Linked DNA regions of Oryzias latipes. The protein of the gene in region 2 binds, or shares a complex with, the protein of the main gene of each other region. Links are inferred from orthologs where the notes say so. Each region holds a gene or a part of one and is shown on either strand. Other genes may lie near its edges.

Region 1 (5,916 bases), on a different chromosome or scaffold from region 2:
TTCTCTTGTTTCTGAAAGTCGCCCAACAATAACAACCTCTCATAAACAATGGGGCTTGTTGGTTTTGATGGGGGGGGGGCTGGTCTGTTCAGTCAGCTCTGTTGGTGGCGGGCCTCCACAAAACGGCGCTAAAAAATCCCTTAGGTGCAGGCCGCATGGAAGACCGTGAAAGATTTAAGGGCGATTTTTCCAAAACGCTCCGTTCGTCTCTGTAGGACCATAAACACAAAACCTTTGTCCTTTTCTTCATCCATCTTTGCTCCAAAAGGAATCTGACCAAACTCTTAAAACAAAACTAAACTAAAGAAAAAAACACAAAAAAGAGGGGGGGGATGGATGGAAGCTGGTCAATGTAAAAAAAAAGAAAGAAGCCGTTTTGGATGTTTTTTGGTTTTACAGCACCTGTGGTCTCATAAAGAGAGGCTGGATCTTTTTTTATTTTATTTTGAAATCCATCATGGATTTGTCCCCCCCCCCCCAAAAAAAAAGCGGCTAGCTCAAATGCTGGCTCATGGAATAAATGCAGTCTCCTCTCTACACCACAAATGACTGGACAGCATCGCTTTCCGTCCGAAAAATGTTCACGACAAACAAAAAAAAAAACTACAAAAAAAAGTGCAGCCGGAGCCTCTGAGGAGCGCGAGGAGTAAACAAACCTTTCAGAAGAAGTTCCTACAGGCCGCATACCCGAGTGACACTTTTCAGAAGCCGTTTTCCAAAATAAATCCTGCAGCTGCTGGGAGCTCTCTGAAACACTTTGCAGGCATGCAGCGCCCCCCTGTGGACACAAAGTGCTTAACAACTCATTCCACCTTAAAAGATTTCTTTTATAAACTAATAGCAGGAAAACAAAAAATGTCATCTCTTAAAGAAATGTCAAACAAAGCATGAACGTTTTCATAAGTTCTTGAAGTTTATTCAGTTCAAAAAGTTTTCAGCAAACACTCATGACATAAGCCACGCACACGCGCACACACACACACACACACACAGACACTCACACATTTATCAGAAAAGCTTTTTGGCTCCCTGGTCTTCCTGTCCGGGAGCACCGGAGGGCGGCGAGGAGGGAGGAGCTTATTACTTCTCGGAAGGCTTGAAAGGATCAGACCAAACTTTTAGACCTTCAGAGAAGAAAAGAAGAAAAAAAACCACGGATGCTGCATGATCACAACGATACAAAACAGAATCAACCGATTTCTTTTTTTATTGGGAGATCACATCTGAAAAAACAAAATAAGCTTCAAAATAAAATCCCAAAACGATACATGAATTGTTCTCTTTGTAGAATCAGTGCTTTGCAGAGCAGACGTTTGCTTTAATAGATATTAAATCCCGCAATAGTTATTAAAAAGATAATAATCATAAATGGAGATTAAAGAAATAATGTAATTAAACTGAAAGTTACAAAAGAAACAAAATACTACAGCAAATGCAGTTGCACATGGTTTTTAACTTGTGCTTTATTTCTTAATTTAGCTCCAAACAATGTGTTTTTTAATTTTGAGTTTCAGAAAATTCAGAAAATGTTTAGGCCAAATGTGGACATTTTAGTCATTATTGTAATTATCAAATGATTACAGAGGATGTAGAAAGTGATCCTGTGACAAAATAAAGTTGATCTAAAAGAGCAGCCGGGCTGCCTTCACTTTTCTGTGACTCAAATCCAATAAAAATGTCAAACTGTTTCGCTTTCATGGCGTTTTTTGTTAAGGATAAGAAATCCGACCAAAATACTTTCACAGATTCTTTTCAAAAATTGATTTCACTTAATCTGCCATCCATACTTAAAGTAAAAACATTTGTTTATTGTTTTTAATTGATTAAAAACGGACCCAAGAAGTGTTTTGGAATGACAAAATATACAAAAAGATTCCTCTTTTGTGAGGAAAGTTGATCCAAACATTTCTCTTTTTTTTTTTTTTTTTACCAGTATTGTCAAAGCTCCTGTAAGCATCATTTCACCCGCTTTTTTGAATTCAGCGACCTTTTCTTACCCACAGGCTGCACATCTTCCTGGTTTATTCCGGACCGATTTATCCTCTGAGTTTGTCCTAAAAAGGAGCACAGCATTTCAGTTAGATTCTTTATTCTAGGGAAAATTTTCATGCTATGATCCATTTCAAAAAATTTCTAGAAATGTTTGATTTCAAATGTTTTTAAAAAAAATTAAGGAAGGAGAGTCTAAAGCTTCAGTTTAGGGAACATATTTGCCGGTGATTGTGAAAATCATTACAGGGGTTGTATTTTTATAATAGTAACATTGCAAAGGTGCAGAAAATCCATGGAAAAAATAAATAAATATTATTATTACTTAAATAATATAACAGTTAAAAAAAATCCTACTTTAAAGAGCTAATTTCAGAAAACCTGATTCATTCGTGACATTATAGTGTGACCTCAAGTAGCTTGAAGTAGTTAGGATTCAGTTTGACCTAAAACCTTCAGATCCTGCTGCTTACATGAACACATCTGGATTTCTCCAAAGATGGAGATTTCTGGAAGAGTTATTCAAGCAGGAAGTCCGAATCTGTGACCATCTTTCTAACTTTACCAAATCCTCTGAGTGCTGCACTCTGATTGGTTAACTCCCCCCTCCTCTAACCCTCCCTTCCCCCAGTTCCATTATCAGACACAGATCAGTTTTGACACAAGTTTCTTGCAAGGAATGTGTCAGAATTCAGAGCGCAGTTGTAGCGCACTTGTGATTTGCGCCAGCAGATTCGAGCAGACGCAGAAGCACATTTGAGCAGTTGGAATCACATATTTGACGTTGTAACTCTAAATGAACACATGCAAATGGGAATTTCTCAGTTCACAGCAAAAGATTTTTACACAAAGATGCAGAATTTTGTTGTGCAAGTATTCACATTCTATATTACAAGATCTCACATCAAATCAAAAGTGCGTTCTTTTTGGAACATATTTACCTTCATAAAGAACAGTCAGATTTGTTTTTTTAGTTGTGTATTTTGATGCCTAAGAATGAACTTTTTCTGTTGTTTTTTGTTTCAGAAGTTTATTTGAACTGCCTTTTTCCCACATCCGATGCAGAAAAACTTAAAATAAATCAGGCAAACATAAATCCTTGAAGCAGGAAATAGAATTTTTGGAGAGACATCTGGCCCAAATACTATTACCAGCCATAATCCATTAAAGATATCAGGCTTTTTTCACCTCAGTAAGCAGACTACTGTTGAAATCAGATCATGATCGGTGTGCATGCAAACTGTTAAATAGCAGCGGCTGAAAAGATAGCTTTTTTTATTTTATTTAATTGTACTTTCTCCTTCATTTATGTTATTTATTATTATCATTATCATCATTATTCACATTATTATTAGTAGTAGTAGTTGATTTTCTCTTTTTCTATTATTATTTTTAATAGTAGTACTAGTACTAGAAGCAGTATTAGTAGTCGTTTTCTTGTCTTTTTCTTGGGCAGACTTAATAAATAAGCTTCTTCCTGCTCTATTTCAAACATGTTTTCTATTGTTGTACTATTTTTGCTGTAGCTGTTTTTATTCATGTTTTCATCTTTAGATTTGCATCATTTTGACTGTATTATTTTTAATTATAAACATGTTTGGGGGAAAAACATAGAACCTATGAGGAAAATTACTTTAAAAGTTTGCTTATTTTCAGCTTTGAGGACAAAATACTCAAATGGAATTAAACTACTAGCTAGCTAAAAGTTAGAAGCTAGCTTCCAAAAGCAGTTTAAATAAAAAAAAAAATACTTCAGTACCGGTACTTCAAATATTTTTTTCAAAACAGCCTTTAGTTTGATTTAGGAGAATATCTTTAGAAAATATATAAAAATATTTGTGACGTTTACATGACATTGTATAAGAGCTAAAAAAATAAATAAATACAAGCTGTTAGCTACTTACTGTACTCGTCTCTGTGCGTCAGAGGATAGACGAAAATAGGATATAAAGCAGCGGCGACTGTTGTTATAAAACCCCCAAAAATCAGCGCTATTCTTATATTTTTCGACATTTTTCTAGCTTGGTAGGACGTAACCTAGCATTAAAGACACCCCGTGTTTACAACTTGTACTTCCGGGGAAAAGGTTACGCTGTCACATTTTTTTTGACAAATCTTTATTTAAAAACCAAAAATGACAAACAGCAAGGAACACAGAGCAATACACTGTATATCAATTTTGATAGATAAACGCTAGGGGTTATGAAAGTAAAATTATGTTAATCTATTAAACTGAGCCTAAAATCACTTCTAGTGAATGATATAGAAATTACAGATGAAAAGGCTGTATCCTCAGAAATTTACAGATTTTATAGCCACCTTTACAGCTCTAAATTTTCAAGAGCAGACTGTGACAACTTTATAAAAGAGATTCCCCACATCCCCAAAATAGACGACAATTTTAAACAAACATGCGATAAACAACTTTTAATCTCTGAGCTTGATGCTGTCATTAATCGACTCTCTCTTAATAAATCTCCTGGTTCAGATGGGCTCACAGGCGACTTTTATAGACACTTTTGGGAAGATATCAGAAAATTACTGTATCAAGTCTTCTTGGAAATCTTGAAATTTGGCCATTTATATTACGAATTGTTATGACATCAAAAAGTTAAATGTCTTGGGTACAGAGCTTATTATTGGCCAGCTAGCAGATGACACAACACTGTTTTTAAAAGATGAGCATCAAATCAAAGCAGCTATTGAAAAAGTAAAACACTTTTCCAAAGCGTCAGGGTCAAACTTAAATTTAAAGAAATTGTGAACTGTTGACTATTCATGACACACCTTTAAAAGAAATCAATCATATGCCCATTAAATCAGAAATTAAATACTTGGGGATCTACATCACCAAAGACCAAAAAATAAGCTAATCAAGGAATGTGGGTGAAAAACTGGATGAATGTGAGACAGAGTTAAATATGTGGCTCCAAAGAGACATGTCGATGCAGGGCCGGATCTATCTGACAAAGATGGAGTGTTTGTCAAGATGTATTTACCCATCTTACTCTAATGCCATCCCAAACAAAATGATAAAATCCATCTGCCAAATGACTTTAAACTTTATTTGGAGAAACAAGCATCATTACATGAAAAATAAATATGGTCAAAGAATTTAAAGATGGTGGTCTCAAAGTTATGAATTTTGACTGCCGTAACGGAATCCTATAGATAAAATCGTGGATCAAACACAACCAATCTTTCAATCTAGCATTATCAGAGTTCCACAATTCTGCTATACTGGAAAATATTGTATGTGCATCGCCATTTTTAAGTACTATTTGGAACAATGAATACATGCTCCATAGAAACAAGTCCTTGTTTTGTGCTGAATGGTTTGGGCAAAGTGTTTGGTCGGTGACTGATCTGATGGACACGGAGGGCAATTTATTAGATTATGAGCAATTGTGTTTAAGACATAACTTTAATCCTCCTATTTCAGAATTCTTAAAAGTACGTAATTCTCTTCCTTGAGAATTAGTATTTCTAACAAGGAACACAATGACACATGTAATGATAAAACGACAGTTAGACACATTATCAATTGAAGCATGCCCTCTTATGGACAGAAAATGTAATAACTCTTTTATCAGAAATTGGTTAATTGAAAGATTATTTCCTGGACGAGAGAACAAAAAACAATATACTGCAGAAATTTGAACAAAATGTTGTTACCAAATTAAGAACCGATTTCATGAAACTTCCTATTCTCCCAAAAGTTAAAGAAACACACTTCAAAATTATGAATGATATTTATCCCTCCAAAGAATTACTTAGATTACGTTTCAACATTGATGACAACAGCTGTTCCTTCTGCCAAACTGCTGTTGAAGACATCGGCCACATCCTTTTCCTGTGTGATGTTGTTCAAATGTTCTGGTTGGATATTTACAAATGGTTAAAAAATAAATTCCCATTCATCATGGA
Region 2 (5,818 bases):
GTTTGTAGTATTTCCAACAGTCCGCGAAGGCAGCACAAGCCTTCAATCTGTCAACATGGTGAGCACGGGTTAACTTGAAAAACAAATAATAATAGTTAAAATAAAGTTATTAAAACATTTTTTTAATTGAAAGTCATAATAATAATTACAAATGCTAAATTTGAAAGAGGGTGTGTTAAAAAGGAGATTCGTGTGAAAAAAAAACTCTTTTGGGGGTGTCAAAAGCTGTAGCAATGGGGACATATTTGTTAAAATTGACTAAGTAAAAAAAAAAAAAAAAAGATTTGTTAGACATTTTTCTGCAAGTTTTTATTTAAAATTCAGTGTAAATCATGTTAATAGGTTATTTAATTAAATTAGGGTTGCTACACATTTTACTAGATTTTCAAAATACTAAATTCTGCAGCTCCATCTGGTGATTCTTTTTTATTCACATTTTTACATGTAAAACAACAAAAAAGGATAAAGTAAGTTTGAATGGAGTAAAACATCCCCTACATTTAAAAGCAAAATTTGATCAAATTCATGTTTTATAGCATATTAGTTCTGTAGAATGTGATCATTTGTAAAAGCATACATTTATCTTCAAAAAAATATCTCTGTATGTTCTATTTACAAATTACTATTGTATTTTCATTAACACTGCGATAGAGAAGCTTTCTACCAAATGCTGAGAAATAATTTTATTAACCAATCCATTTCTTAAAATTTCACAATAATATATTCAGGAAAAAGCCATTTATTTAGTTCACAGACATGAAACCCTGCTTTACAAGTGCAAACGTCTTGACTTGTCCCCTGAGTGTCAGAAAAGCTCCTCATCTGTTGTCCTCCACAACAATAGTCCGTCTCGGGTAGGTATCTATTTCTACAAATACATAACGGAATTCATACTTTCCAGTTTCAAGATTCTGCAAAACAACAAGGATACCATTATCTCAACTGATCAAAAAATCCACACAAGAAACAACAGGTTTCCATTTAAATAAAGACTTACCTCTTTAGACTCTGAATGCACCGTCCCTTTCAGGCCCGGCTCCGATCCCTCAATGTAAAACTTTAGTCTCATGTGCTTAAGTCCATCCTTTACATACTCCACGTGACTGAAGTGGAAATATGAGAATAAGGAATAAAAAAACTCCAACAATAACATATATATGTAATAACCTTAACATTTTGTAACTCCATTCTTCCAGAGCTCCAGATTCTCAGATGCTTACAATAAATCAGCACGAATACCACGTTAGCTCTTCAAAAGACAATAAAAACTTTTATGTTTCATAGCTGTGGGGTCTGAAACTAAATTCTCCTTCATGACAAGTTTTGCATAAACGTTGAAGGAAATTCAATGCTGCTGAAAATATGATTTATAGCTGATGTTCACAGGTTGTGATTCTGAAAGGAAGTCCTTCAAATCCTGCAAAAGCATTTCCTCTAAAACTAAAGGCAGCTGCTTGTTATGCCAAGTTTGATCAGATTTACTGTATTCTATACCATGAATCAATGAATGCTAAAGCAACATTTTGCAAGTAAGAAAAAGTTCAATAAGATAAGATAAAGTGTCAACACACCTGACTTGCTGCCTTCTCCCTCGGCGGGTGGTCTCACCGTAACATTTAATTGGTTCTCCAAATGCCCCAATAACCTGCAATTGATTATGTATTTCTTACTTTTATTTTGGAAAAACAATGATTTCTAGCCATTTCAACAGTAAAAAAATATTGATAGGAGACGCCGTCTGGCTTGATTTTTACCTCTGGGTGCGACCTGACTTTGTCAAAGGCTCTGCTGTAGACTTTATTTGGGCTGGTAGAGGAAAACAGCTCTTGGAACACCACATATAACAGCCCCCCTGACCAACACAGCAGAAAACTGCAGCTGATTATTTAGGTTGTGTGTTCTGGGACCAAATAAATAAATATATAAACAAGCAATGTGGGATTGTTGTGTAGCCATTCCTTGGACTCGTGCAGTTCAATTCACCTGTTACTCCAAGCCCGATGAGGACCACGATCAGGTAGGTGAAGTCTCTCCCAGCATCTTTGACTGAAAGACAAACAGAGCAGAGGCTCTTGAGTGGCCAATGCATAGTGGAAGAGTTTAGATTTATAAGCAAAATTTAACCCAGAGTGAAAATATTCCAGGTTTGATATAAAAGGAAACTGTGTGTCTGTGCAGACGGGTAGCTCTATTAGACTGCGGCTATAAGAGATGACAAGAGGAGGAGGAACTCATCAACATAACGTTAGGTCTGGCCCTCTAGTATGCCCCGAGGTATTATGATGACAAGTCCTAAAGATCTTTAGTTAGTTAGTTTCTGCAGAGCAGCAGTAGTTCAATAGAAATTGACCACTGTGCTGTTGGCGTGGAGCAAGCCTGCTCCACTTCCCATCACCAACCTATTACCCGCTCCCCCTCACACCCCCAACCTAACGTTACCAGAGTTAGTAATTACTTCATTACTTTAAAAATAATGACATAAAAATAGAATAAAGGAGCAAATTCTTGGTCTGGAATATATATATTCCAATGCTGGAATAAATGCAAAATGAAATATATCCATTGATTTGATGAATTAATGCAGAATTTATCTTCAAGATTAATTTGGATTTTCTTTTCTTTTTTCAATAAACCTTGTTCAATTGGATTTGGCATTGCTTATTTCAAGCAACCAAAGCAAAAACAATGCTGAAAACTACACAATCAACATCCATACAAACTAAGATGTATCAAACATAGAATATTTAGTCATTTAATTAAAGATGGCTTGAAAGGGAGTGGAAGGAAGCAAACTTATCAAACTTAACATTTTCTTTACATGAAGTATCCGGTTCATAACTTCTAAGCGGATATTTATACCTTACCAACACAGTTTCAGGTCATTAAGAATCTTTAGGTATCAATAAATCACATGAAAAAGATGAAGTACATAAAGTGAGTGAATGAGGTATAGACTAAAGAGGGCCCAGAACAGAAACCTGAGGAACACCACAGGAAAGGGAGTAGGAGTTATTACTTGCCAAGAAACTTTGAAAGCAGCTTTGGTTGTAAGAAAACAAAATGGGCGGTCCTAAAACAAGATTTTTAGTTTTTTCTAAATAAAATAGTAGCTTTAAACCCCATTTAAAGAGACAAGACAGTAAATATGCGTTTAGTTGCACAAATCTGAAATGGGCATACCTTTCTGAGCAGAGGACACTTTAGGACTCTGGTAGGCAGAAACAGACCTGTGCTTCTCCTCCTTGTTTCTGAGGATAACGTGAACAGAAAAGCGTCTTCGTGTTTGACAGAGACAGCTCAGGGCGGACACAGGAGCCTCTGACCCACGGACGGACAGGCCGGGGATGACCGCTCCTGCTCTGCGTGTGAACAACAGCACGCCAGCCTGCTGCACGGGGAGAAATGTTTTCCCGGAGCTCCGCACACTTTGTTGCACGGCTTTTAAAATGTGCGTGAAAGACATTATTTTATCCGACGGACAATATCTGAAAAAAAGAAAAGAAAACAGCAGCTCATCTACTGAAAATAAGAATCAAATAACAGCGGTCTTTCATGGTAACATGGAATTGCAATGCTGGAAACCGCCATTCAGACCTCTGATTCACTGACCTGCTGGGTCGATCAGACGTCGAGGATTTTCTAAAGATGGCTACTGCCCCCTTCTGTCCCGGATGTCAAACTGCAGCCTTATTTGTGGTCTGGGGCTTTTTTGACCTTACGTCGTATTTCGCTTTATTGATTTATCTTCAAATCGGTTTTTGCGGCAATGCTTGATTTCCATCCTCTTTTTAAAAACCCACACTTCGTTTTACTGATTTTGTTTTCATTATACTGCACAATAACTCCACAATGAAGTTGAAACTGTCCAAAAAAGTCAATTCTGAGTGATAAATGTGGTCTTTTTTCTGCTAAAGATTCAAGATTCAAGAATTCTTGAAAAAAGACCACATTTTTTAGCAGAAAAAATGTGGTCTTTTTTCTGCTAAAACAATGATTAAAAAATTGAGATCAAACAGTTTTTATGTTTTATAACAAAGGTAAAACGTGTTGAGACAAAACAAAGTTATAAATCCAAAAAAACAAAACATGCAACAATTTAGACATACTTAATTAGAAGCAGAGTTTTTTCAACATAAAAATAATTCACTTAAGGTTTCAAACTTATTGACTTGGTACTTAGGATTATGTAAATACTTTAAATAGACCCTTAATTAATACAAGTTTTTTTTTTAATTACAGGTATAATTTATTTTAAAAGGATCCTTTCATGTTGATAAAAAATGAAAGGAAAACAAATTACTGCTCACTACAGCATTACTGGCTAAGGACTTAAATGCACAGCAGACATGAATATGTATTTGCTGAATGGCTGTTTGAGTCAGCACTCCCACAAATTTCAGAAACATCTGATAAATGCATATATTTTCTTTCCTATTTCAATTAAAGTTGCACTTTCCTGAAAGCAAATCCACATGATTGAGATTTTATAACAATGTTATTTAGTGTCTTTGTGATTATCAATTACATTTTTGGGGCTGCTTGAAGTTGATTTATTCCGAAACAATATTCCTGTCTGTTTTTATTCAAATTTTTGTTCAAAATAAGTTTAAAATGTTTGAAAACGTATCTTTAATGTGTTCACTAAATGTTTATCCTGTTCGGCCCACAACCTGGACCCCTGTGCAATTGAGTTTGACACCCTTGTAATACGAGTATATAAAATTCTTACATTTGTGTTGATTTTTGTGTTAATTAAAAATAGGGAACACAAAACGATGTGGTCAATGTGGGTGTGGGGGGGGTTGTAAGTCAGTGTAGAACTGCCACTGAACAAAATATTTCCATTGTCACACCAGCTTCCTTCTTCCTCAGGGGATTGGTCAAATACAAAACTGGTCAATTTGTAATATAATCTATAATAAAGCAAGAATAAATAAATAACAAACACAGATTTTGTTTTAATTTTCTGGCTACTCTTGTTGGGGATCACCACAAAATCCTCCCACGTCGTTTGGCTTCAGTTTTACAGCGGATGGCGTCTTGGACTCAACCCTCTGCCTTTACCCAGACTCGGGACGGGTTTGTGGAAATGCTGAAGAGTGGCCCCATGTTGTCGCATTTGAAACTCAAATAAGAGAAAAACGTTGCCACACAATAAAAGCGGTAAATATTAGTTTATTTAAAAGATTCAGTCCAGCATTTTCCCAATATGTTATCAAATAAATGTCCAAACTGAGTTTTAAAAAATCCTCTGCATCACAAACATTCAGAATAAACTGTTAGTAAAATGCAAAAAAAATAAATAATAAACTAAAAATTAGTTGATCCAATAATTAAAAGCTGTAACATTACCTTTAACTTTTCTAATGACCAGTTTATATAAAACAACACAAGTTTCTATCGTGAAGACATCACGTCAACATAAAAAAATAAAAGCTTTTGTATTTTGACAGATACTTAAAAACAGTTTTCAAACCTGTAAAGATTTTTTTAAGTCTCTTCAAACAAATTTACATTAAAGGTACTGTGTTCTCCCCCAAAAAAGTTAAATTTTCTGAAAGTTGTCTATTTCAAATGATACTTCAAGGTTCTTCCACTCTAGAAAAATCCATATCTTCCATCCAAAGCAAATGCAAACTTTCTGCTAATTGTTTTCCCTCATCTCTGCAATCTACAAGTTACTACGGAAAAAAGTCCTTTAAAGAGGAGTGTGGGAGGGAAACCGATACGTCGCTGTGAAATGTGTCCGGATGCAGAGGAATGGTGCATCTGCAGAAAAAGAACAGCATCGTTAGTGCAGGCCTTCTCCTTGTCCTGC
Region 3 (5,762 bases), on a different chromosome or scaffold from region 2:
AGGCCCATCTACAGAGAAACACACACGTCGCAGCCCACGTCACAAAAATATACAAAAATGGGGAAGTTCTGGTAAAGCTAAATGAAATGCAGCTCTGAAAGCTCAAACACTTGACTTATTCTGACATGATTACTGGCATTATACTTTCCAAATAAAGCTGCAGGCTGCACTTGTGCAGCATCAGCTAACTGAAAAGCACACAACAAAATCGATGATAAGAAAAATTATCGACGATAAGAAAAATTGTTCCACAATAGTTTACTAGGAGCTGTACAGATCTTCTGGATAAAACCAATGTCTTAATTACTTTAAGTTTCTAAAAATGTAAGAAGTCCCTGGAGGTCACATAGTAGTACCGTTAGCGAGAGAATTAGATAAGTTCTGTCCTCACAGAACCCAAAAGTGGAGCTCTGATCAGACAAAAGCCTTTGCAAACAGTAGTGCACACACATCTCACAATTTAAACATCTTAAAAAAGCCGCTGAGAGAAGCCAAAAAAGGAAATTCAAAAGAAACGCAAAGTGGAATGTAACTTTTACAGACCGTTTAAAATAGACGGTCTCTTTCTTGCATTATGTGATGACAGATGGGCCACATATGCTTCTAGAAAACATTTACTAAAGTTTAATAGTTTATTAGATGTAATGCCAGTTTTTTTAAAAATACGTTTCTGTGTGGATTTAGCCACAGTCTACATACAGCACAGAGGACCTCCACCAGTACGTTCCTGTTCATGTGCAAACATGGAATTTCACCAAAGTAAAATGATTCTGGTGTGTCTGACCACCTAGATAGCATTCAATGATTTGAATTGGTGCCAATGTTATATAGTTACTGAAATTCTGTATCACTACATGAGCTCCAAGTTAGATCAAGGCAAAATTTCACCTGAAGTTCTGTCTATTTTCAAAAGGGGAAATTTGTACTTACTTCTTGCAGCGAGAATAGCACCAGTCATGGCACCACTTGTTATTGAATTCCAGGGGTCTTCTTTCCCTCTTACTTTTACTAAACCACAGTCAATCATGGAAAAAAGGCCTCCCCACACCGCAAAGCTACCTGCAACACACACCCACAAATAATTACCAACTAGTAACCATCAGTCATCTTTTTTGACAGTATAGCAGAAAATGTTATAAACCCGTTTATGAATATAACCTTGCAAAAAAAAAAAAGACAACCAAAAGTTTAAACACAGTAATGGTTAACAAGCAACGTAAACCAATGAAGATTTGACCTTTTGGTGAAGTTGACATGACTCAAGGGTATTGTTGTTTACATGGTAAACAACCTGCTACCAGAACAGCAGAATAACCCCATCAAAGTCCCACTCCGATCATTTCTTGATCTATTGTAAAAGTGTCCCCAGTGGACTTTTTACTTATAATTATGCAGATTTGAGCAAAAAAAATAAAAGAACATGTCATTTTCTAGGACATAATTTTTGCAGAACAGCAGGAGTTCATTAAAAATTCACCTCCAAGTTCTGCTGGCAGAGTAAGTCCATCCCCACATCCCATCATCCATCCATTTATAGGCTTTCCTGCTAGCTTACAGTCCCTCACAACCCCAACCTAAAATTACCGCTGCAACTAAAATGGCAAGCAATATTGGAGTTTTCCAGCCGTACAGTTTTGAGCCAGATGCCTTTAATCACACCTACAAGCTTTTTCCAACAACATTTTTGCGTCTGCGCCTGATTCACAAAGATTTCGATGTAGAAATACTCAAAATAGAATTTTGAGCCTAATTTTCTTTATATATCCTCCATCTTGGAGAAAGAAGAAAAGAAAAAAAAACACAACACGCATTGTTGTTGTCGATAGCTTAGCTTTTGTTCTATTGGCACTACGCAGGAGGAAAGACAATCACCTGACCGGACCGGGATCGCTCAGTGGAAATGAGACATAAGTGTCGGCACATGTGGAATTTTTTTTGTCTTACCTCCCAGTTGCGGGGCTCTGGTCTTAATGGCAGTTAAACTACCCCTCATCCTGTGGCTCATTCCCTACAAAAAAGACCAGCACAAACAGATTTAAAAAGTGTGAAGAGCAGATAAACACTATAACACCCATCTCGCTGGAAAATATTTAAAGCTTCCTTGAGCGAGTCATTGAACCAGAAGGCCAAGGCTTTCAAAACACTGGCTCTGCCACTACAGGTAGGAGAAAGATAATCACAGCAAACCCATGTGACGGCACACACGTACAGTTCAAATGTCCAAACTGAACTTACCGAGGGTGCGTTTCTGAAGCCCTTTACCGCCTGGAATATCCCTCCTCCAATAGCTCCCATGGTGAATGCTCCACCACAGTCATCCACAATCCTCCAGGGGCTAAAAAACAAAAAACACAGACAAAGCTTAACCTCATGCTGTACTCATGGAGTGCCAGACAACAGACTACAGAACCTAATACGAGTATTTTTAAAATAAACAGCAGGTATTTGTTCGTTAATGAGTTCCAAATATATGGGGGGGGGGGGGGGGGGGGACAAAAACGAATAAATGCATCAAACTTGAGAGAAAAACAAGTCCACAGTAGACATCAATAATTTAGACTTTTTTATTGTCATAACTGGTTAAGAACTAAATGAAACAACTTAAAACTTGAATTGATTTAATTCTGTCTGTGTGTTGGGGTTGGGGAGTGCATCTGCATGCCAGTAAGCTAGCCCAAGATTTACAACGTCTAATTCTAGGAACTTTAGACATTGTTTCATGCATGGACCAAATACCTCAACACCCAGGTCTTAATACCACTGAGACCTTCAGGATGTGCTACAGGAGACTTCATTACAGTCATGCCTATTATCCAAAATGAAACATATTGCAGACCATTAAAACAATGCCAAGAGGAAATAACATGCTATATGTAGAGGACACAGTGCAACTGTGTGTTAAAGAAAAGCTCAAAACCGTCCAAAAAGATATATTTTGTGGAAATCAAGCAAAATTGCATCAAGTTCCATTGTTTTGTCACATCCTAGTTAAATGAGGTGGGAAAAAGACAACTGGTCATGGATCAGCCAAAATATAACAACTTAGTGTCACACTAATGGCAGTAAGGCCTAAGATGGGTTTTTACAGTCCACCTATAGTTAACACAATTTTACGTAGATATGATGGTTTTTTTTAAGTTGATTACAGGATGTCGAAACAAGTGTTTGGGGAATCTAGTAAAACCGATCACTCACAGGTTCGGGTTGACAGCAGTCAGAGTTACAACAACACGGGTCTCATAACAAGTTATACAAATTTTCTCTGAACAACAATGGTGATGTTGGCTTTTTGGTACTTGATGCAATCCGTGTTCTATTTAGTGCAAAGTCAACTACTGTTTTCAGTGAAGTCAGTAGAGTTACATGTGGACGAAATAGCCGACAAGGTCACCAACGTGATTTCACGACCATGCCGGTATGTCGTTAGCGTCAAGCTACCCATAGATTTCAAGGGAGAAATTAGCATTTCGGCTAACACCACTAACTAGCATGCAAGGTTAAGGACTGATAAAGTCATTACAACTGGTGATCAGAATAGGTACTCAAAGTTAAGGAACAAACATGTCTTGTTTTTTAACCAGACAATTAAGGTGATTTAAAAATAAATAAATAAATAAAAAACTCACCACGGCTCTCTCGCATATTCCTCCATTTTGTTCTTTCACCGTGTTCCCCTGAGCGTCCTGACGTAACCTCTTCTTCTTGACGTCACAGAACGTAAACCAATAGTTGAAAGTAATGAGTACCGCCATCTATCGAGCAGACGTGTGGTTGCAGTTTTCTGTATACATTTTTTCCGCTTTTTTTGGTTATTTATAATTCCAGGGAAATAGAAGACAAAAATAAATAACTTACAAAATCTCCAGTTAATCTGTCACTCGTGGACAAACAAATGCCTCACTATTTTTAAGTAAATACTTCTTAATATAAAATGTTTACGTAGTTAAAAATTATAAAAATTTGATAATATGTGTTTGCTTTTGTTTTTTAATAAAAATCTATACTTAATTTTTCACATAATTTATTTATATTAGCTGATCTATTAGCCAATCCTTGGGTGGTTGATGTGGTTTGTGACAATGCTAACATTTATAAATGTGACTGCAGACAGAGTATGAATGATTGTAGAAATTAGTCACAACATCAGAAACATCACAGGTTGGATTTAAAACATGAAGAAGAAGAAAACACTTTGCTGGTGGGAGTAGGATCCTTTCTGAAAATACTCACCAACCCTAACCCTATACATCAAGTGTCCGGGTGTACTCTGTGAGAGCTCAACTACTGAAATGTCAGCTACTTAAAGGCTTTGGAATTGTTTGCCAAAACAAAAAAACAGCCACATGTAGTTCAGAGCAACCAAAAGCTAAACTAAAATAATACACCCAAGATCACACATTGAAAAGCATTTGATTCTTTCAAAGATTAAAACCTTTTCAGACATTCAAGATATTTTACCAGGTTTTAAGTTGTTTGAACTTATTTTTGCTATACACATTCTCAGGAAGAGCAGAGATACAGAAATAAAGAAATAAGTATTAAAATGAATCCAAACTCTTTTGCTCCCTACTCTCGACAAGAGAAAAAACTTGTTTCAAGACTCAAAAAATCTCTAATTACAGTGTCATTTTTGGCTCAATTTTAAAGATTTTATTTTAGAGTTCAATAAATGTTAGACTGGCATTCAGTGTCCTTGTTTTGGAAACTGAGAATTTGATTTACATTCAAACAATTAGAGCTAAATTTTATGAGGATTTGTTCTAAAATGAGTCATTTCTACTTTTTAACTATTTTTTGTCACTGTAATCAAAATGAAATAGAATTAGGTTTATAAAAACTGAAAAAATTAAATCCATTTGCTTAGAACTAGCAAAAAATACTTATTATCGGACCGTACGATATTATTATAAGTTACTCTCTCGAAGTATGCTTATTTTTCTCTTTTTGAATGCTTATGTGGAACAGCTTGTTTCTAGATTTTAACATCTTATAAGTATAAATTACTTGCTGGAGACAATTTTACTAGTTTTTAGTGGTTTTCTTCTCAAGAATAGTGCTCTTTCTGTCTTTTTAGGCTACTTATTTTTGCAGTGCATGAAACTTAATCACTGAAAAGCATCATCTGGGTTCTTTTCCTCCTTTAAATGATATTTTTTACAAAACAGCTTCGATTCTTTTTTCCTCTTTTTTCCCCCCTGGTAAATACCACTGGTGGTCGGGGAGCTGCAGCAGTGCAGAGAGACGGCTGGCATGAAGCCCATTATTAGAAATAGGAAAGGAATGACTTGCAGAGTGAGCTTTCATTGAGAAATGACCAAATATGGGCATTTCATGTGTAAGGACTGAGTTTGGAGACACAACCTGGCCTGCAGCCAGTGCAGCTCCCCTCTCCTCTGTTTCAGGATGACGGCTACCTCGCATGTAGAAACCAACCGTTTCCAAACCGCTTGTGATTTGTTGTCAGCAACAGAAAGAATGCTGCTGTGGATTCAAAGGAGTGGGTCATTTGTACCCAGTGACTGCATCACGTTCTTAATCCAGAAAGGAGGATGATGAATACTTTAAAAATCGAATCTTCTTTTCAAAAAACAGAAATAACTAACTGTAGTCATCTGGTTAAAAAACTCAAAAATGCTTCACAAGAAAGTAAGAGATTCAAGCTTTCCAGCTTAATATTGTCTAAGCCGGTCTCAGGACAGGCTGGGATGCTTGGAGAAACAGAACTCCTCGATATCCAGACAGGACAGGGCGGTATTGTGTAC
Region 4 (5,745 bases), on a different chromosome or scaffold from region 2:
CCATATGCACAACTTAAAAGAAAAAAGAAAACCGTGCGGTGATGCGGTTGTCGTCACACCCCTATAACACCGTCTAACTTTAGAAAAGTTTCATCCACCCCGTTCTGTTCAACGAAAAAGAGGCTAAGGGGGGCGGCTCCTTGCCATGCATGTCTCCACAATGAGATGAATTCACGACTGTCTGCGAGCGAAACATGGGCAAACCTGTACGGGGCACATAGGTGGCCTGCAAGAAACAACAAGGTCGTAGAATGCTCTGAGCAAGAATGTTCATGCACAGTTTTTTCACGGACACGCTGCGAATGACAAATCGGAGTGAACGCTTAAACAATGTGTGTGCGCTCCTTGCGTGCAGCCTGACTAACGTCCTACAGGCAATTCCACATCGCAGGTGTGCAGCATTTGAGTCAGTGTGCACAACCTGCTAATGAATAGAGTGTGGTGTAAGCCAGTCATACGTCACTATCCTTAGAAATACTTCACAAATACAAACTTACCAAACGCATGACAACTGTACATTGCATTTTTAGTGACGTTCCATTAGGTACGAGACTGAAGGGAAACTAAAAGACACATCTGCTCCCCTCAAGGTGCAGCTGATTGTCTCTACGACCCTCCACAGCCCCGAACAAACCAAAAACCAGCATATGACTAAGGATTAACCAAAAAATTCCAGTTTGCAGCCTTCATTTTGCCCTCATCGTGTTTTTTTAACAATGCAAATCACATTTTGCTGATGTAATTTCCCTGGTGTCTTCTGCATTTGCCGCGAAAAAAACTTCAATAGTGTGAATAGGTAACAATAACTAAATGTATACACCAAAGAAAAAGTCAACCTGATTTATATTACTGTAGAATACAAATATGATTTTCAAAAACTCATTTTTGGAAGAATAAAACCACCATTCAAGAGTTTCACTCACGGTTCTGAAACTGCTGTGCAGTGTATCTGGTTAGCAGGATCCCAAAACCCTCGATGAGAGCGAGCAATATTCCTCCCATCATGGCAGAGCCCACCATGGTCAACGGTCCGCCTGAGGAAAGACACCCTGTCCGCTCAATTCCACCAAACACTACGACCCGCTGAGAGTGTGCGGCCCAGACTCGCTCTTACTGCGTGCTGCTAGAACGGCTCCGGTCAGGGCCCCGCTGGTGATGGAGTTCCACGGGTCTTCTTTCCCTCTCAGACGGACCAGACCACAGTCGATCGTGGAGAAGAGCCCCCCCCACACTGCAAAGCTGCCTGCAAAAATGTTCAGGGGAGTGTGAAAAACAAAAACAAGAAGAGAACAGCTCTTATGGCATCTAGGTATAATTTTTCCAATAAAGAGATGAACAGCAAATGACATTGTGGTGAAGCCAGGAAACCTTTTGTTATTAATAAGAGCAAAATCTCCTCACCTCCAATCTGCGGCGCTCTTATTCTCACTGCATTGGCGCTTCCTTTTAGCCTGTGTGCAACACCCTGAAAGGTCAGACTGCTGTTAATTATTATCCTCACAAAACAGGCGCATCAGAGCCAACAGACTTGTGGTTTTAACTCACGGCGGGGGCGTTTCGAAACCCCTTGACTGCTTGGAACACCCCTCCACCAATTGCACCCATAGTAAACGCCCCCCCACAGTCATCCACAATCCTCCAGGGGCTGCAGGAAAGAAGTCAGATCATGAAAAATTACGGACACAGAGGAAAAAAATTGCAGATTGACTCATCAGGATCTGAATGAACCAAAATTAGGCCAAGAAGTTAAAGGTGTAGAACTGAAACAAATAACCTTTTTATTAATTTCTTAGGAAAGCTATCAACGATCCGGCATACTTTCCAGCTTCCACAAGAATTCATCTTTGGATTATATTAACTCCAAATCCCAATTTTAGCTGCAGTATATTATTAAACGACAGATGCAGACATTATTTAAGGTCACACTGAACCTGCATTTTCTTTAACAGCTTTAAAACACTTGTTTAAATAATTAGTCATTGGATTAAGACAGCAAAACAGCAACATATTATTGTTCTTTCTGGTGGCTTACTGCTGCAGGAGGCTCAAATGTTCAAAACAAACAAAGATCTAAATGAGAAGACACAGGCTTTTTCATGCTAACTCTTCTATTTATTCTACTTTGTCACGAGTCAAATGATAAATTAAAGGATTTTCCTCTGATTCTTTTGTCTTATAAACTTAGGGGGTTCTCTCCATTCAGATTTACTCTCTAAAGGCAAAATAATGGATCACAGATCCACAGTGTTTTCTTCTGACACAAGGGGAGTGAATTCTGACTTCCTTTAAGTTCAAAACTAGGAATAACCACAAAGCAGGAACAGATCAGAGAGAAACTGATTAGATCAGAACAGAGAAGAGCCAGAGGTGGCAGAGCTTGTAGCTGCGAGGGGGAAAAAAGGAGGCAGAAGGGAGCGGCGTGGGGCAGCAAGCAGACGGAGCGGCGTGGGGCAGCAAGCAGACGGAGCAGGAGCAGACCAAAAAGAGAAACAAATGATTCTGTCTCCATGTTTTTACTCTGATTGGTTTGTGTGTCTTCCTTTTGTAGACGGTGGGGGATCTTTCTGTTAATCCCTCCAAAAACTCTGAACTCAGAAGTAAATGGGTTAACCATAACAACTATCTAATATCTATAATCAGTTAAATTCAGAAGTGTTATTATCAATCTGGATTATCAATGACTCAATGACAAGCATGTCAGCATTTTGATGAGTTGGGGCAGCTTTAGAGGAGATCTGTGTGCCTGAAGCCCTAGAAGTGTCGACTTTACTGAATTCTAATAAACAATCATCCATCTATGAAATAGTAGACAATGTTAATGATTATTCTTTAAAATGTCTGAAAGTTGTTGAGAGATTTAAACTGCATTTAGGATTTATAGAATAAATGTAACTGTGATCTTAATTGCTATTAAATACCATTATATTCTGTGATATATAAAACATCCATTTCTGCACAAGGATATAAATTGGATGTTTCGGCTTGAAAAACAATAAACAAGCTTACTACCAATTAATTAAAAATGTCACAAAATATGTAACATTTGTTCGCAATATGTTTTAAGCTAATTTAAAGCACTAACAGTAAATGTTGTCGTTTTTCCATAAATTGTAGAAATAATATATTTTATAACCTGCGAAATGTTAGAATTCTAGTTGAAATTAGATTACTTCTCGGTGGTGGACGCGAAACTATTCAACCTGGTCAGGTTTCGTTCAACAAGAGGGCAAAATTGCATAAAAGCCAAAGGACAAACTAATATGTTTAGGTTTTATTCGACAAAAAAAGATAATCTCACCAAGGTTCACGCGCAAACTCCTCCATCTTTCGTGTCGTCTTTTAAGCGCAGTGACGTCATAATCAGGCGCCGGCTCATCGTTCGTTGTGGTGGTCTGTTGATTTTAACGATTGAAATAGTCGTTTTTAAGAACAGGTACAGACTTTCCCCCCTCTTTGTTATTTATATAAACGCTTACTTGGTTAATTGAGTTTCTTATTATAGTTAGGAACTTCAAAATGACGGGATTTTGATTTATTTTAACCGCAGCTGTGAGTTGAGTTCAGAAAAACGGGCCTGGATCATGTTTTCGTGCAGATTATTTTAGCTCTTGAAATATTGTTTCTTTGCTAATTATCGATATTTTAAAACTGACTGAGCTACACTAACCTCAATATTTAAAAGACAAAAAAAACTTAACGTTTGAGAGTTTTAATCAATCGCTCCATAGTAGAACCAGAACCATCGAAATAACTTTCAGAAAAGTCCTGTTTCATTTTTTGAGCTGCTTTGAAATTGAGACAGTTTTGTGTGTGTGTGTGTGCGCGCGCGTGCGTGCGTGTTTAAATTTCGCACCTTATCATAAAATTTTCCTCCAGAGAATTTGTTTAGAAACAGTGAAGAATGGATTTGTTTGCTTCAAATACCTTATCTATACAGGTGCTCTGAATGTACACATCTGTACATCTGGATTTGGTCATAGAACATGTTTAATTTCAGAATTTGGGGTAATGGGTGTCTCTTATGTTGTTGCTTTTATGGGTTAGTTTGAAACGAAACAGTTCTGCCAAATTAAAGCCAAATCAGTTATTTAATTAATTGATTTTTCTATAAAAGTAATATTTTGTATTTGTCAGGTTAAATAAAACATTTTCTTTGCTTTTAAAGCCAGAAGTTGAATTTTATTGATTTAAAGTTCAAGTTTTGCTTTATTTAAATCACTAGTTAGGCAAAAATGTTTGTGAACGAACATAATTAGTTTTGGAATGGAACCTTTATTTTTTTTTAAAAAGAATTTATATTTAATCAAAATTTCTGCAATCCTAACTCCTGTACACAATCGGTGAATTCGTATGTAATCAACTGAAGAATTTGTCAGCATTTGCATCATCATTTAATCCTAACTCCTCTGTGCTTGCAGATGCCTCTACCTCCAGCCCTGCTGGCCCGTTTGGCCAAGAGAGGAATAGTTAAACCTTCAGATCAAGGTAGTATTCTACATCCTCACAGAGCTTACTTTCTGCTTTTTTTCTGAGCTTAAAACGACTTTTTCTCCTCAACAAAACAGAGATAGAGGAGGAGATCATCGCTGAAGATTATGATGACAACAATGTTGACTATGAAGCCACTCGGTTAGAAAATCTTCCCCCAAATTGGTACAAAGTGTTTGACTCGACGTGGTACGTAGAAACGAAGTCGATCAGCTGCGCTGCTGTGTTTGAGTATGATCACTGCGTGTCATTGATCTACCATTGAAATGAAAAGCAATTGCAGCTAAAGTTATTTGTTTTCTTCATTTCCCAGCGGTCTTCCTTATTACTGGAACATTGAGTCCGATCTGGTTTCCTGGCTTTCCCCAAATGATCCGTCAGCGGTTATAATGAAAGCTGCCAAAAAAGCAAAAGGTAAGAATTTGGTAAAGTAGATGACTTTGCTCTGCTTTCATTAAAAATTGTTTTACAGAGTTCATAAAATGTCCAAAATATTGGATTTTTACTTTTTGACAAGGGTATGAGGAAACAAAAAAAGAACATGAAGAGCATGAATGTGTAATAAACTCTCATATAGCTAAAGTTTATCCATCTTTATATTCAAACTTTGTTTGTCATGCTACTCAGATAATGATTGTTTTCTAAAACCTCAAAGATGTGGATTTCCTTTTGATTTTTATATTATTTTTATATTATATATATTATATTTACCGTAAATTCCGGGTTATAAAGCGCACCCGATCACAAGCCGCACCCACCTATTTTAACGTGCTTAAATATTTTTGTACATACACAAGCTGCATCAGTATACAAGCCGCTGCCTCAACAAAGCGCATCCTGACTACCAGAGTGTGCATGGCTCATTACCACACTGTGGGCAGGTACTGGCCTTGTCTCAAGCTCATGTATCTAATTACACCCACATCTGAAACGGCATGGACCTCTATTCTGTTCACAAGTTCCTCAGTTATGGGTTTTTTTATTTTTTTTAACTTATTGACAAACTAGGTATCATACATAAAATTACAAACAGTAACCATATAATCAACATTACATCCCTCAGTTATGATGAGGAAATTTATATCCGCGATCCCCCATTTCCCATGAGTCTTAGGGGCTAAAGGCGGGGCCAACGCCCGGCTCGCCACACTGTTGTTCGTGTTTAAGAATGAGCAAGGAGCAGCAGTGCATGGAGGGGTGAAAAGGAACAGCTCTCCTTCCACTTGTGTCGCGGCAGCGTTATGGTACTAACGGGGC

What was found.
Region 1: timm21 (region 2) and smim20 share a complex: the UniProt entries of both Homo sapiens proteins name them as parts of the MITRAC (mitochondrial translation regulation assembly intermediate of cytochrome c oxidase complex) complex. The link is inferred for Oryzias latipes from reciprocal best matches to the Homo sapiens genes TIMM21 and SMIM20.
Region 3: timm21 (region 2) and timm17a share a complex: the UniProt entries of both Homo sapiens proteins name them as parts of the TIM23 complex. The link is inferred for Oryzias latipes from reciprocal best matches to the Homo sapiens genes TIMM21 and TIMM17A.
Region 4: timm21 (region 2) and timm17b share a complex: the UniProt entries of both Homo sapiens proteins name them as parts of the TIM23 complex. The link is inferred for Oryzias latipes from reciprocal best matches to the Homo sapiens genes TIMM21 and TIMM17B.

Annotation. Positions count from the first base shown.
Region 1 is NC_019876.2:17,384,794-17,390,709, forward strand, and holds smim20 (small integral membrane protein 20), read right to left. Parts: upstream 4,085-5,916; 5' UTR 4,003-4,084; coding exon 3,894-4,002; intron 2,055-3,893; coding exon 1,998-2,054; intron 1,125-1,997; coding exon 1,081-1,124; 3' UTR 891-1,080; downstream 1-890.
Region 2 is NC_019878.2:15,517,474-15,523,291, forward strand, and holds timm21 (mitochondrial import inner membrane translocase subunit Tim21), read right to left. Parts: upstream 3,610-5,818; 5' UTR 3,595-3,609; intron 3,486-3,594; 5' UTR 3,464-3,485; coding exon 3,181-3,463; intron 2,047-3,180; coding exon 1,984-2,046; intron 1,853-1,983; coding exon 1,755-1,852; intron 1,646-1,754; coding exon 1,572-1,645; intron 1,104-1,571; coding exon 998-1,103; intron 912-997; coding exon 819-911; 3' UTR 295-818; downstream 1-294. UniProt on the Homo sapiens protein: Participates in the translocation of transit peptide-containing proteins across the mitochondrial inner membrane.
Region 3 is NC_019863.2:11,440,894-11,446,655, reverse strand, and holds the start of timm17a (mitochondrial import inner membrane translocase subunit Tim17-A), read right to left. Parts: upstream 3,738-5,762; 5' UTR 3,653-3,737; coding exon 3,627-3,652; intron 2,336-3,626; coding exon 2,236-2,335; intron 2,009-2,235; coding exon 1,945-2,008; intron 1,060-1,944; coding exon 931-1,059; intron 9-930; coding exon 1-8. UniProt on the Homo sapiens protein: Essential component of the TIM23 complex, a complex that mediates the translocation of transit peptide-containing proteins across the mitochondrial inner membrane.
Region 4 is NC_019865.2:21,319,961-21,325,705, reverse strand, and holds the start of timm17b (mitochondrial import inner membrane translocase subunit Tim17-B), read right to left. Parts: upstream 3,350-5,745; 5' UTR 3,325-3,349; coding exon 3,299-3,324; intron 1,646-3,298; coding exon 1,546-1,645; intron 1,466-1,545; coding exon 1,402-1,465; intron 1,244-1,401; coding exon 1,115-1,243; intron 1,035-1,114; coding exon 924-1,034; intron 1-923. Other genes in the region: pqbp1 (polyglutamine-binding protein 1), read left to right, coding at 4,419-4,485, 4,566-4,677, 4,802-4,902. UniProt on the Homo sapiens protein: Essential component of the TIM23 complex, a complex that mediates the translocation of transit peptide-containing proteins across the mitochondrial inner membrane.